2 linked regions of the Drosophila melanogaster genome follow. The gene in region 1 interacts genetically with each later gene. Each region holds a gene or a part of one and is shown in the gene's direction. Other genes may lie near its edges.

The links.
Region 2: of Ube3a (region 1) and Pu, changing one enhances a phenotype caused by changing the other (phenotypic enhancement), as found in Drosophila melanogaster (one study listed by BioGRID).

What each region holds. Positions count from the first base shown.
Region 1 is NT_037436.4:11,205,916-11,212,239, reverse strand, and holds Ube3a (ubiquitin protein ligase E3A), read left to right. Parts: upstream 1-1,656; 5' UTR 1,657-2,033; coding exon 2,034-2,086; intron 2,087-2,149; coding exon 2,150-2,404; intron 2,405-2,508; coding exon 2,509-3,311; intron 3,312-3,373; coding exon 3,374-3,615; intron 3,616-3,680; coding exon 3,681-4,235; intron 4,236-4,301; coding exon 4,302-4,483; intron 4,484-4,549; coding exon 4,550-5,042; intron 5,043-5,104; coding exon 5,105-5,443; 3' UTR 5,444-5,818; downstream 5,819-6,324. Other genes in the region: CG7600 (uncharacterized protein), read right to left, coding at 1-1,303.
Region 2 is NT_033778.4:21,177,395-21,183,124, forward strand, and holds Pu (punch), read left to right. Parts: upstream 1-1,723; 5' UTR 1,724-1,898; coding exon 1,899-2,250; intron 2,251-2,543; coding exon 2,544-2,753; intron 2,754-3,889; exon of another isoform or gene 3,890-3,961; intron 3,962-4,025; coding exon 4,026-4,191; intron 4,192-4,250; coding exon 4,251-4,367; intron 4,368-4,441; coding exon 4,442-4,571; 3' UTR 4,572-5,214; downstream 5,215-5,730. Other genes in the region: CG4286 (uncharacterized protein), read right to left, coding at 422-739, 802-1,143. UniProt on the Drosophila melanogaster protein: Isoform B is required for eye pigment production, Isoform C may be required for normal embryonic development and segment pattern formation.

The sequences.
Region 1 (6,324 bases):
TTGGGGCACACATATCCTCTTGCTCCAGCTCGGAACTCAGTTCCTGCTCATCGCTGTTGTTCACTCTCTCCTGGGGTGTCGTATTCAGGTTGGCAAAGCTGAAGTCACTCGTGTTGCCATCCGAGGAGAGGTAGCCTATGGAACTGCTGTCCTTATCCTTGTCCTTCTCCCTTTCCTTGGGTGTCTTTGGCGATTTGGGACTTTGGTCGAATTCGAAGCTGCTACTGGTATGCAAATTGTAGTTCAGCGGTGTGATCTGCGGCGTATCTGGCGTTTGCTGCTGGTTGTATCCCTCCCAGCTGGAATGATTCGTCTGATTGACCAGATCTTCTTTGCGATGTGCGAAACCCAGACGGCAGATAAACGATATGGCCTGCTTAACGCTATCCAGTTCCAGTTGCAGCATCTGTGCCAACTCGGCAATGGTCATGTGCTCATCCGCGCTAACGAAGATCTTGTACAGCAGATTCTCAAAGTAGTCCCCGCTCACACGATTCATCACAAAGTTGCGCAGCGGCGGTATGGATATCCTGTCCTCCCCGCTAATGGGCACATCTAAGTAGATCAAACCCTTCCGGTACAGGCTGTGCACCACGTCGTGATCGCATTTCCCAGCCGGCTGGGCTCCAAAGTCAATCAAGTCATCGAGCAGGCCTCTTTCAGCGGGCGACAGATAGCGAATATCCGCTTCCAGGACATAGCCAATGTCCAGTCGCCACCAGGGCTCGATGTGTATGCGCACCGGAAAGCGTGGCAGGAAGTCCAGCGGATTGGGCCGCGACCCGAAGATCAAGGAGCGCGGTGTGTGAGTTTTCATATCGCTAATAAGGGCCAGGTACTCGTTGCGGCCAATGCCCAAGACACGCAGACAGTCGGCTGCTGTAAAGTTGGGCAAAGTATCGTAGCTTTTGTCGCTTTGCAAAAGCTGACCCAAAACATCCAGATAGTAGTTGAAGGGCGTCACCCTCAAGCCCTTGGTGACGATATCGGCCAGGTGGTAGGGAAATGCGCCCAATCCATTGATGCTCTTCTGTATCAATAGCTCGTAGTAGCGTTGCTCCCGGCGAAACACCTTGGCGGCCAGGTTGCCCCGGAACCTCAGCTGATTCTTTAGACTATAGTTAAAGACGAACTTCTCGTAGTCACGCTGATTGTTGTGCAGAACCGATCGCAGGTGCACGGGCAGCAGTTCCCAGGTGACATTCCCACGCACACATTGCTGCAGTTGGTTTTGGCAATTGGTTCCAGAGCCAGTGGTCGCATTGCCACCTCCGCTGGTGGCCAAATCCTCTTGCTCCGTCATCTTGCGACTCGGATTGGTTTCTCCGGCTGGTCGGACTAACTCATTGCATTCGCTCCGGCTACGGAATCCAGTATTTTCTTCCTGCGTATTATTTTTCTTTTTTTTTCGAGGAACGATAGATCCGATAATACGGACACGGTGTTATTGGTTTCATACGTCGACAGCTGATAAGACCGCCGGTGTTTTGCAGCACTGGCGAGCAACCAGTTTTTCGATAGTTCGATTATTATTAGTATTAGTCATAATATCCCTTGGAGTTTCACAATCACGTTTAAAAGTGCAAACATCCAACGGACGTCTATCGGCAGTGACTAACAATACTGTCCGATAAAGAATGTGCCTATCGGTGTGCTGTCGATATCACTAGTTCATCGATAGCACATCGTTTAGAATGATTTTCAATATTCGTTGCTGCCTGCTTCATTCATAAACACTTACGCTATTACAGTCAAAATTGTCAAAACGTTGACGAATTATCGAGCTTTAAAGGATTGCTATCAGATTGCAAGGAAGTCGGCGTTCAGCGCTCGACGAGCGGGCAACAGAGGCAACGGCAGCGGCTGAGTAGCTTCAGCATAAGAATTTTAGGTAGCCGCGACACAAAAAAGGGACATCAACATCGATTTTTTTTTGCTCCCATTTCGTTTTGTGAGTGGAGCAAAATCACTTTCGACAAACAAAGAAAGGGGCGGCGGCGGTGGGGGCGTAAAGTGCGCAGATTTCAGCGAAGATGAACGGTGGCGGGGGTGGCGAGGATGATCAGCATCTGCCAGGTGTTTCCAGGTGAATAACTTCAGCTACTTACGTTGTGGCATATTAAATCTGATTTTCTTTGCCCCCCATCAGTGCATCAGGATCTGCAGCTGGAGCGGTGGGCGGGCGAGCCACGCCCGAAATGAAGCGTTCGGCGGTGCGCAGCCTAATCAAGCGATACTTCCACCAACTACAATCCGGCTGTGGGAACGCCAACTGCAGCAATGCCAATTGCGCCTCCAGCGGCAAGGTGGCGCCCATGACGCCCAACGAGGTGGCCGCCAGAGCACTGCAGCTCTTTTCACAGGATGCACAGCTCTGCGAGGCGTTCACATCGGAGGCCAACAGGTGAGAATTCTCTTAACAAATGGAACTGGGTAGCAAAGTTTCCAGAGCACCGATAAGATTTTCTATAGGTAATTATCTTTCAATTAAATTTTTTCCCATTTTAGCCCCCAGGACGTGGACATGCTTTCGCCGAACGACAGTAGCAGTAGTAGCAGCGGCAGCTCGACAAGCACAATTACCTCAGCCAGTACCACCACGACAACCAGCAGACAATCGCAGTCAACGCCAGCTGCCGTTGTAGTGCCCGTATCCAGTCCATATCTTACCCAGAGTGTGCCGCAACTGGATATCGCCGGCGCTGAACACTCCTCCGGCGACTCGGAACCGTGTACACCCACCCTGGCGCCAGTCCACAGCTTGGATGCCAACAGTCTGATAGCGCTCTATGAGCAATGTAGGGCGGCTGACAGTTACGACAGGATTTGCCACGCAATCGGCGTTGTGTTCTCCAGCGTAGATAGACTGGGCAAGAGCTTCATTCGCAGCGCAGAACCAGCGGCTTCTAGTAGTCTCCAGGAGCTGCTGGCCAATTCACCGGGGGCTTTAAACAAGGAGCAGCTACGAACTTTGGAAGGGGAACACGATAAAGACGAAGACAGTACACAACAGGTGGACGAACAATCAGAATCGGCGGCTAATGCTACTGCTACTGCAGAATCAGTCGAATCAGAGGCGGAGCCCGAAGAAGAGGACGATGATGTGTGTTCATCCCAAAGCAGCGACACACTGGTGGATCTGCCCGGTTTGCGACGAGTGCAGCGTCTCCTTTTTGGCTGTCAAATACGAGCTATAACGGAGAAGCTTACCAGCAGCGTTATTCAGCTGTCTGACTGGGTGATTTACATGCGTACGGATTGGGAGAGGGTCATTCACTGTCTGGTCATCTGCTTTGATCTAGCCACCAATAGTGAGTTTTTCAATTGTATGCCTGGAATGTTTCAAGTTACAGCTTTTCTCATAACCCTTTAGCCAATAACAGTGTGGTGGACATGGACTATCTGGACAGGGTGCTGCCAAAATTGTGCCAAGCGGCGTCGGCCATGCCAGTGCCGGCACAGGCGCGCCTGGCCAGGATCTGGGCTGCTCATTGTTCAGATCAGCTGCATTCGTTGATCGCAGCCTGCCAGCAGCAAATTACTCTACAGGTGCTTTTGGACGAGGAATCCATGCGCGAGAACGAATCCATAATCAGTGTCACCAAAGTTTTAAAGGTATTTGTTAGGTTTATTATGCAATATGGCTTGTAATGCAGTTGGGTTAACTTCTTCTGTGATAGATTGTCTTCTACGCGAACATTCTGGCTAGCGAGCTGGAGCGACCGTCGTGTCGGGTGCCGCTGGAGGATCGAACGGAAGCGGCGACCGCATCTGGCAGCGCAGCAGTGGAGGACGACCTATTCGTCTACAACTCTTTGTTGGAGCCGCACATGCCCAAATTCGCCGAGGATCAGTTTGAAAAGGAGCTGCAGGTGTCGGCAATCGATTGCCGGAAACCACTGATACCACTTGAGGAGTTCTACAACGAGGCACTCAGTGAAAACATTCAGATGCACCACGACTACCTGTCCTACAAGACGTTAGCCATGGAGAGCGAGATTGGTTCCGGCCACGCGAACTATTTTTCGTTCATGCTGTACGCCTTTATCCTCACGCCGTCAACAAAAGTGGATGCCTTGTACTATGACAGTCGAATGAGGATGTATAGCGAGCGCTACTCCTCCCTTCACTCCATCCTCAACAATATTGGCCAGGTAGGACAGGAAGATAATCCTCGGCCGGATCTTAAGCTGACGGTGCGAAGGGACCAGCTCATCAACGACGCACTTATTGGGGTGTGTACAAATGGTTCTTTAGTGTCCTAGTTAACAGGCGTAATTAATACACGTTTAATTCCCCAGCTGGAAATGGTGGCCATGAGCAATCCAAAGGATCTCAAGAAGCAGTTGGTGGTGGAGTTTGTCGGCGAGCAGGGGATCGATGAAGGCGGCGTATCCAAAGAGTTCTTCCAGCTAATCGTGGAGGAGATATTTAACCCGGCTTTTGGAATGTTTATACAGCAAGAGGAGACCAACAATATGTGGTGGGTATTCAATTGGGATAAATCTGTTCAGTTGAACTATATAAATATATATATATACATATGCAGGTTCAATGCCACACCATTTGAGAACGGAGCGCAATTCACTCTGATTGGTATAATTATTGGCCTGGCGATCTATAACAACGTCACCCTGGCCGTAAACTTCCCCATGGTGGTCTATCGCAAGTTGATAGGCTATTGCGGCACGTTCGCAGACCTCAGCGACTGGAGTCCGGCGCTGTACAAGAGTCTGAAGTCCATGCTGGACTATCAGGGCCAGGATATGGAGGAGGTATTCGAACAGACCTTCAAGATTAGCTATAGCGATGTTTTCGGTGATGTGGTACAACACGAACTGGTGCCGAACGGCCAGGATGTACTGGTGGGGCAGCACAACAAGGAACTGTTTGTCAACCTGTACAGTGATTTCCTGCTTAACACGAATATCGAACAGCAGTTCAATGCTTTCCGCAAGGGCTTCGAAATGGTTACGGACGAATCGCCACTGAAGCTGCTCTTCCGTCCAGAGGAGATTGAAATGCTGGTCTGCGGCAGTCGTGTGAGTAGCTAAATTCAAATTACGAAATTCATTCGGTTGCTGAACTCTGAAACCTTCGGCAGGAATTCGACTTTGTGGAACTGGAAAACTCCACTGTGTACGAGGGCGGCTACACGGAGAAGAGCCAGTACATCCAGGACTTCTGGAGCATAGTGCATGCGATGCCCAGCGAGGACAAGCACAAGCTGCTCGAATTCACGACGGGATCGGCGCGTGTTCCGGTTGGCGGCCTGAAATGCCTGCGTCTGCTAATCACGCGTCACGGTCCGGATAGCGATCGGTTGCCTACCTCGCACACCTGCTTCAACGTTCTCCTCCTGCCCGAGTACAGCAGCCGCGAGAAGCTGGAGGAGCGCCTGATGAAGGCCATCAACTACTCGAAGGGCTTCGGCATGCTGTAGACTATGGTCCAAACTGCAAGTGCAAGTCTGTCATCTGGAACTGATACCACCACCTCTCTGGGAAGAAGATTTCGAAGACTTTGATCGGTTTGAGTTCGTTTTGGGTTCTGCCATTTATTTTTGATACGACCTGTTCAATGAGACAATATATACATACCCAATATATGTGCTCAATTTATATGGTGCGACGGCGAAGCGAGCAGACCGAACGGACACGCGATTTTGTTTCCCTTCTTTAGCCCAGTTAATTGTACATAAACACACACATAAACACGCCACATACTACATTATGTGAACTTACCCTAGGAACAACACCCACATTTAAAAACAGTACGCGCTGAATATTTTCCTAAATAAATTTAAAGTAGTTCGGCGAAGAAACAGATGTATTTTCCATTTAGATTGGTTTTCGCAAGTATGGAATATTTTTTAATATTAGATATTTTTAATTTAAACTAAGATTACTAACAAATTAAAATTGTGGAAAAAGATTCATTTAAATTATATTTACATATTTAATTTAGTATAGAAACATCAAATACAAAACATTTTGTAAGCAATATTTCACACTAGCTGACATTTAAATTTCGGTGTGAAGTACTTTTTATTTTTTAACTTAAAAAATAACTTGTTAACTTTATTTTTTATTTAGTCTAGACACATTTAAAAAAAAAAGAGGTGTGAAAGCCTTATTTCACAACAGCTGACTTGGGACTAGTGGATTTTTTAGGCCCTTTTTTTCAGGCGATATTTTCTAACGGCTTAGCCGCAGCCACACATTTGTTATTCGCGTTTCTGAGTTTCTTGCGGGTGGGACTCCCGATATTTTGTGGAGCGGAAGGTGTTTTGATTTCCTTAGCATTTAGCACAAAAAAATGCAA
Region 2 (5,730 bases), on another chromosome or scaffold:
TACTTATGTAAACTAAACCAGCCTGTGCTATTCCCAACTGATTTATTCGACCCTAAGCAGCGGTGGAAGGTTTTAATGTGCTTTACATTCCTTGTGGTTTGTACTTTTTTACAAACCCACCAAAATCTATTTCTCAGGACATATATATGTATATACATATATAAAGAATAACCTTCAACTCCATGCCATAAACAAGAAAAGTGCTCGCGATAAACCACGAATACTTTGCATGCAAATAAGATTCCGAATATATGCAGAGAATAATCAAATTTGGCCAGCTGGAGAGACTAGCTACTTTCAATTGAAGCCCCACATGTGGGATGCAGGGTTTCCCGCACAAAATGAGGACACTTCTAAGTGGGGTTAATGCTTTATTGATCGGCGTTATGTGCCAAAAAGCTGCACCCATCCAACCATTCCCTCACATAATGGTCTCCTCCTCCAGCATGTACTCCGTGAGATCGGCTTCGCCCGACAGCATGGTCACCGGCACCCGGTTCATCTGGGCCACCCGTTGACTGGGCCAGACCATCACGTCGCAACAGTTGGTCAACACGACCACATTGGTGCTCGGCGTGTTGGTGCACATCAGGTTGCCGGCCTTCTCCTGGTCGCACTTGTTGAACTTGCGCCGGAAACGGAACTTCACGGGCAACGAGTTGCCCATCACGCTCTCTTCATCGAAGTACGGCGGCAGGGATTTGTTGAAAGCCGGATTTGTGATGGCCGGCTTGGTTAGCTGATAGATGAGTGGAGTAACATCTAAATCACTGAAGCACATTGAATGTACAGATCACTCACCTCTTCGAGAACCACGGAGGTCTTGAGTCGGCGACAGGGATCACAGTAGTCGGAGGCCAATGTGTTCTCCGGTGTCTTGGTAGCACATGGATCCGGCTTGGGTTCGGGCACATTGGATCCCAAACCACTACCATGTGGCCCACTGTCACTGTCACGTTTACCCTTCGGATTCATGGGATCCTGGCCGCGCAATACGCATTCCTGCAGGAACTCTTCCTCGATGTCGATCAGTTTCTTGATGGCACAGTCCCGCTTCAGGAAGTTCTTGATCACGGACAGATTGCGGGGCACGGCGCCGATAACGTCGAAGTCATCGCTACGGAGCTGGAGGCGGTGCGCCATGACTTTGGTTCTCCAAGATGAATGGAGGGGCGGATGGTTGGAAGGGGGTTCGAATTTGGGGGAGTAGCTCGTTTCGAGTGGAATGTTTAAATGAACTACAACTTGACGTCTGGCCCCAAGTTGAGTGGGTTTCAAGGATATGCAAACAATAGTTGAGATTAAGTTGGCGCCAAGGATAAAGTGCACGTTTGAGGGCAAAAGCTTGGTACACTCTATTTAATAATATATATTAAGGGTAAACGCTACACTTATCCCAATAAGGTAGCTTTACTTTCCTAACAAGTAAATTGACCTACCACCCAAAGCTAGTTTTTAACATTTGATGGCACTATTTTCGTGGCTAGTGCTGTAGTTCTATCGCCTCCTGGCCGAGCAACAAGTTCGTGCGCGGTTTTACAGCCACTGGATGCCAAACCGTGGGCCTGCGCTCAGCTCGGTTTAGTTCCGCTCACTTAATCTCCGGCAAGCGAAACTCGGAGCAGAGCTTGCCCGTTGGATGGTCTGTTGGCTATTGATTGGAGCTTTCCGCCGCTCAAAGCTCCGCTCGAGAGGTTCTTATTGCCACCGCTGGCCACAGCAGCCACCAGAAGAGCAGAGCCACCCGAAGCGCCAACACGCGAAGACAAAGTCCGGCAGACAGCAGCGCAAAAAGAGACAGATAGCAGTGAGAAAATCATCGAGGAAAAAAGATTGTGTGCTAGCCGTCAAATTGAGTTCCATTCGAGTGGCAAACAAACCTGAGTAGCCGCACCGCCATGAGCTTTACCCGCCAACTGTCCGAGATGAGTGCCAGCGAGCTGAACGATGCCATCGACGACACCAACTTCCCGCAGGCCCACATCCTTTCGCGCGGACGCAACAACAGCGTCTGCTCAACAAGTAGCACCTCGGGCACCTCCTCGCTGGCGGACAGGCAGCAGAACCAGGCGGAGGAGGCCACTGCCATTGCGGGCACACCCGTCGAGGAGGTGGCGCCAGCTCCTGCTCTCGTCCCGTTGGCCGGCAACCAGAGACCCCGCCTCATCCTGAAGACCAACGGCAGCAGTCCGGATAGTGATGGTACACAACCGAAAACACCACTGACACCGCGTACATCGACAACGCCAGGTAGTGGTGGGTAGTGGTCCAGGACCAGGTCAGGGGATCCAGAGCTATGTTTGCTGCGACCGATTTAGTTAGTCAATGAACTAGGAGGAGGAGGAGTGCTTGACAAACTCTTTTTGAGCATAAACCGTACGCCTATCAGTGGGTTAGTGTTTCGGTTCAGAGGTCAGAAGATGCGCCTCGGAATGGGGAATAGTACTTAGACAGCCACACACAGCCAACGAAGGGGGGCAATGCCTTCCTATCTCGCATGATAACGATTCTCATCATGTTTCCATCCGTATTTCCATTTACAGGCCACGAGAAGTGCACGTTCCACCACGACCTGGAGCTGGACCACAAGCCGCCGACGCGAGAGGCCCTCCTTCCGGACATGGCACGCTCGTATCGTCTACTCTTGGGCGGCCTGGGCGAGAATCCCGATCGCCAGGGACTGATCAAGACGCCGGAGCGGGCAGCCAAGGCCATGCTGTACTTCACCAAGGGCTACGACCAGAGTCTCGAGGGTAAGCACACCACACATTTCAAGCAATTAGCACCGGGTCAGTGATCGAAGTTGCTCATCCTGGTTTTCCCAGCGAGTGGGAACTAGTTTCATGTCGGTGAATCACCATTTACGGGGGTTCCTCGGTCCGCTATGGTGCATTAGCCTAATTACCTGACCACTCGAGAGATAAAGCACATGAACATAGGGAGCCATTAGGCAATTTCGGGCTTGTCCAATCAAGTGGACGCATCCAAAATCCATTCAATATCCTATGAAATATGAGATTTGACTAGTAAAGTTTTTGGTCTCATGTTTGGCGTGCATTTCGACTTGCAGTCGCTTTTGAACTTGTCATGTAATCAATGTGAGTCGTTTGAGAAACAAAACAGAATTGCGAATTATATGGTTGCTACACCAGCATACCTAACCGGTTGCCCGAGAAATCAGGTTCTACGGTTTGTCAAATAAAATCGCATGTAAATTTAAGATCAACAGCAACAGCAGCAGGCCATTTGAAAGCTAAATTCGTTGAACGAAAGTGAATAGCCTTCGGCATCGGCAATAGAATGGGTTGGATTGTGTTTAACCCGAATTCAAAGAACCCAAGAAGCCGAGCCAACGTGACTTGCCAATCTGGTGTTGGGGGAACTCCACCCCCCTCCCCACCACACACACAAGATGCTTGTTGGATTGTTTGTTAGATGGCTCACTGGCTACTTGGCTACTTCTTGGCTTCTTCGCTGGTTGGTCAGGAAACGCACTGAAGCTTTCCGGTCTGTATATTAAGAGCGGTAAAGTGGGTGGGTGTGCGGTGCGGCGGCGGCTTCTATTCAAGGAATGGGAATCTCAAGAGCACATCGTTTAAAACGAGTGTGGCGAAAGCTCACACTCCACAAGAACCATAAGCCCATCCAGTCAAGTCAAGTCAAGTCAACCTCCCCCCAAGACCCGCAACCTCACACACGCACACACACACACAAACACTCGCTAAGCAACCACTTTAGCACTCACAGTCGCTTGAACTTAACATTCAGTATTCAGTTATGCAGCAAATAAATCTAACACGAATTACGCGCGCCATAAATCACGGGTAGCGAAGGAACGCCACTTGAGTAGCTTCGTGGTTGTGGGACATTGGGCGAACTTTTCAATAACGACTCCGTGGCGCAACGGTAGCGCGTCCGACTCCAGATCGGAAGGTTGCGTGTTCAAATCACGTCGGGGTCAGGCGATGATGAATTCCTTTTTCGTACTTTTTTTTTACTACACCATTTCAAATTTTTTTTAATAGATGTTCTCAATGGCGCCGTTTTCGACGAGGATCATGACGAAATGGTGGTGGTCAAGGATATTGAAATGTTCTCCATGTGCGAGCATCATCTGGTGCCCTTCTACGGCAAAGTTTCCATCGGTTATTTGCCGTGCAACAAGATTCTCGGACTCAGTAAATTGGCACGGTAAGATAAACTTAGTAATGCATATTAGATGATCTTTCATATAATTTGCGATCCCATAGCATTGTCGAAATATTTTCGCGTCGCCTGCAAGTCCAGGAGCGCTTAACTAAGCAGATCGCAGTGGCCGTGACTCAGGCCGTGCAACCCGCTGGAGTAGCAGTGGTCGTAGAGGGAGTGTAAGTATTAAATATATATACATATATATTTTAAAGAATATTATAGTTTAACGAATGGCTTTCCTCCTATACAGCCACATGTGCATGGTGATGCGTGGCGTGCAGAAGATCAACAGCAAAACTGTTACCTCAACTATGCTGGGCGTGTTCCGAGACGATCCCAAGACCCGTGAGGAATTCCTGAACTTAGTCAATAGCAAATAGAGTGGGCACTAGAGGACGCTACTGAAATCCGAGACCAACTAAACCCCTACAATATTTTTGGAGGCGCTTATATACAAACAAACAAAAATGAAACGAAACACAGGGTCCATTAGTTTATGTTTTTAGGATTGATTTCATTTAGTTAGTGCAATGATTGCGCAGCCATTTTCCTTGTTGATTTGTGTAAAAATTGTTGAAAAATTTTGTTAGCAAAATACGTTTTTTAGATAGATGAATGTAATGAGAAGCGAGATTCGAAGAGGACGAGATTTGAATACCGGTGTTGGGTAGTTTTATGTTCAATTTTATATGCAGTTTTATGGCACTTGAACGATAATTTTTACAACGTATACATACGATTAATGCATTGTGCAATAAGGGAACAACTGATAATAAATCACGGCAAATTGTTTAGGGAATTTACAATTTATAAACAGTTCACATCAAATTAATCAGATCTATAGTTATGTATGTATGTTAACCTATATAAAGAGTTGCATTCATAATGTTCCTCGACAGGGACCAAAGTATATTGGAAGATTTTAAATGTTAAAATTATATGCTCATTATGTAAATGACGTTGCTTGTAGTGAGTCAAAGCTGCTTATTAATTATACAATAAATTATGTATTTAAATAACGTTAAAATGAAGGATTTTTTATAAAATGTATAAAAAAAGAAATATCCCAAAAACAACAGGAGCTTTCTCGAATGACCCCGACGTGATTTGAACACGCAACCTTCCGATCTGGAGTCGGACGCGCTACCGTTGCGCCACGGAGTCTACTGAAATGGAGGCTACTAAGTGACAGGAATCCCCCAACACCAACAGGTTGTTGGTTCCAGTCGTGTAGTATCCATCATAGTGCTTTGTTTGAAATGCAGCAAGAGCATCGGTGGTTCAGTGGTAGAATGCTCGCCTGCCACGCGGGCGGCCCGGGTTCGATTCCCGGCCGATGCATAATTTTTTTTTAAATTTATTTCGTATATAACGAATCAAAAAAAAAAAAAAAAAACAGTGTAAAATATGATTCAAAGAAATAAATATAAATATTTTTTATTCAACTTCTTAGTTTGATAAATATATAATCTATTACTTGCAAATCCTACTGTGTACCTTTCGTTTGGACCCAAAATTATTGGATAACAATTTCACAAT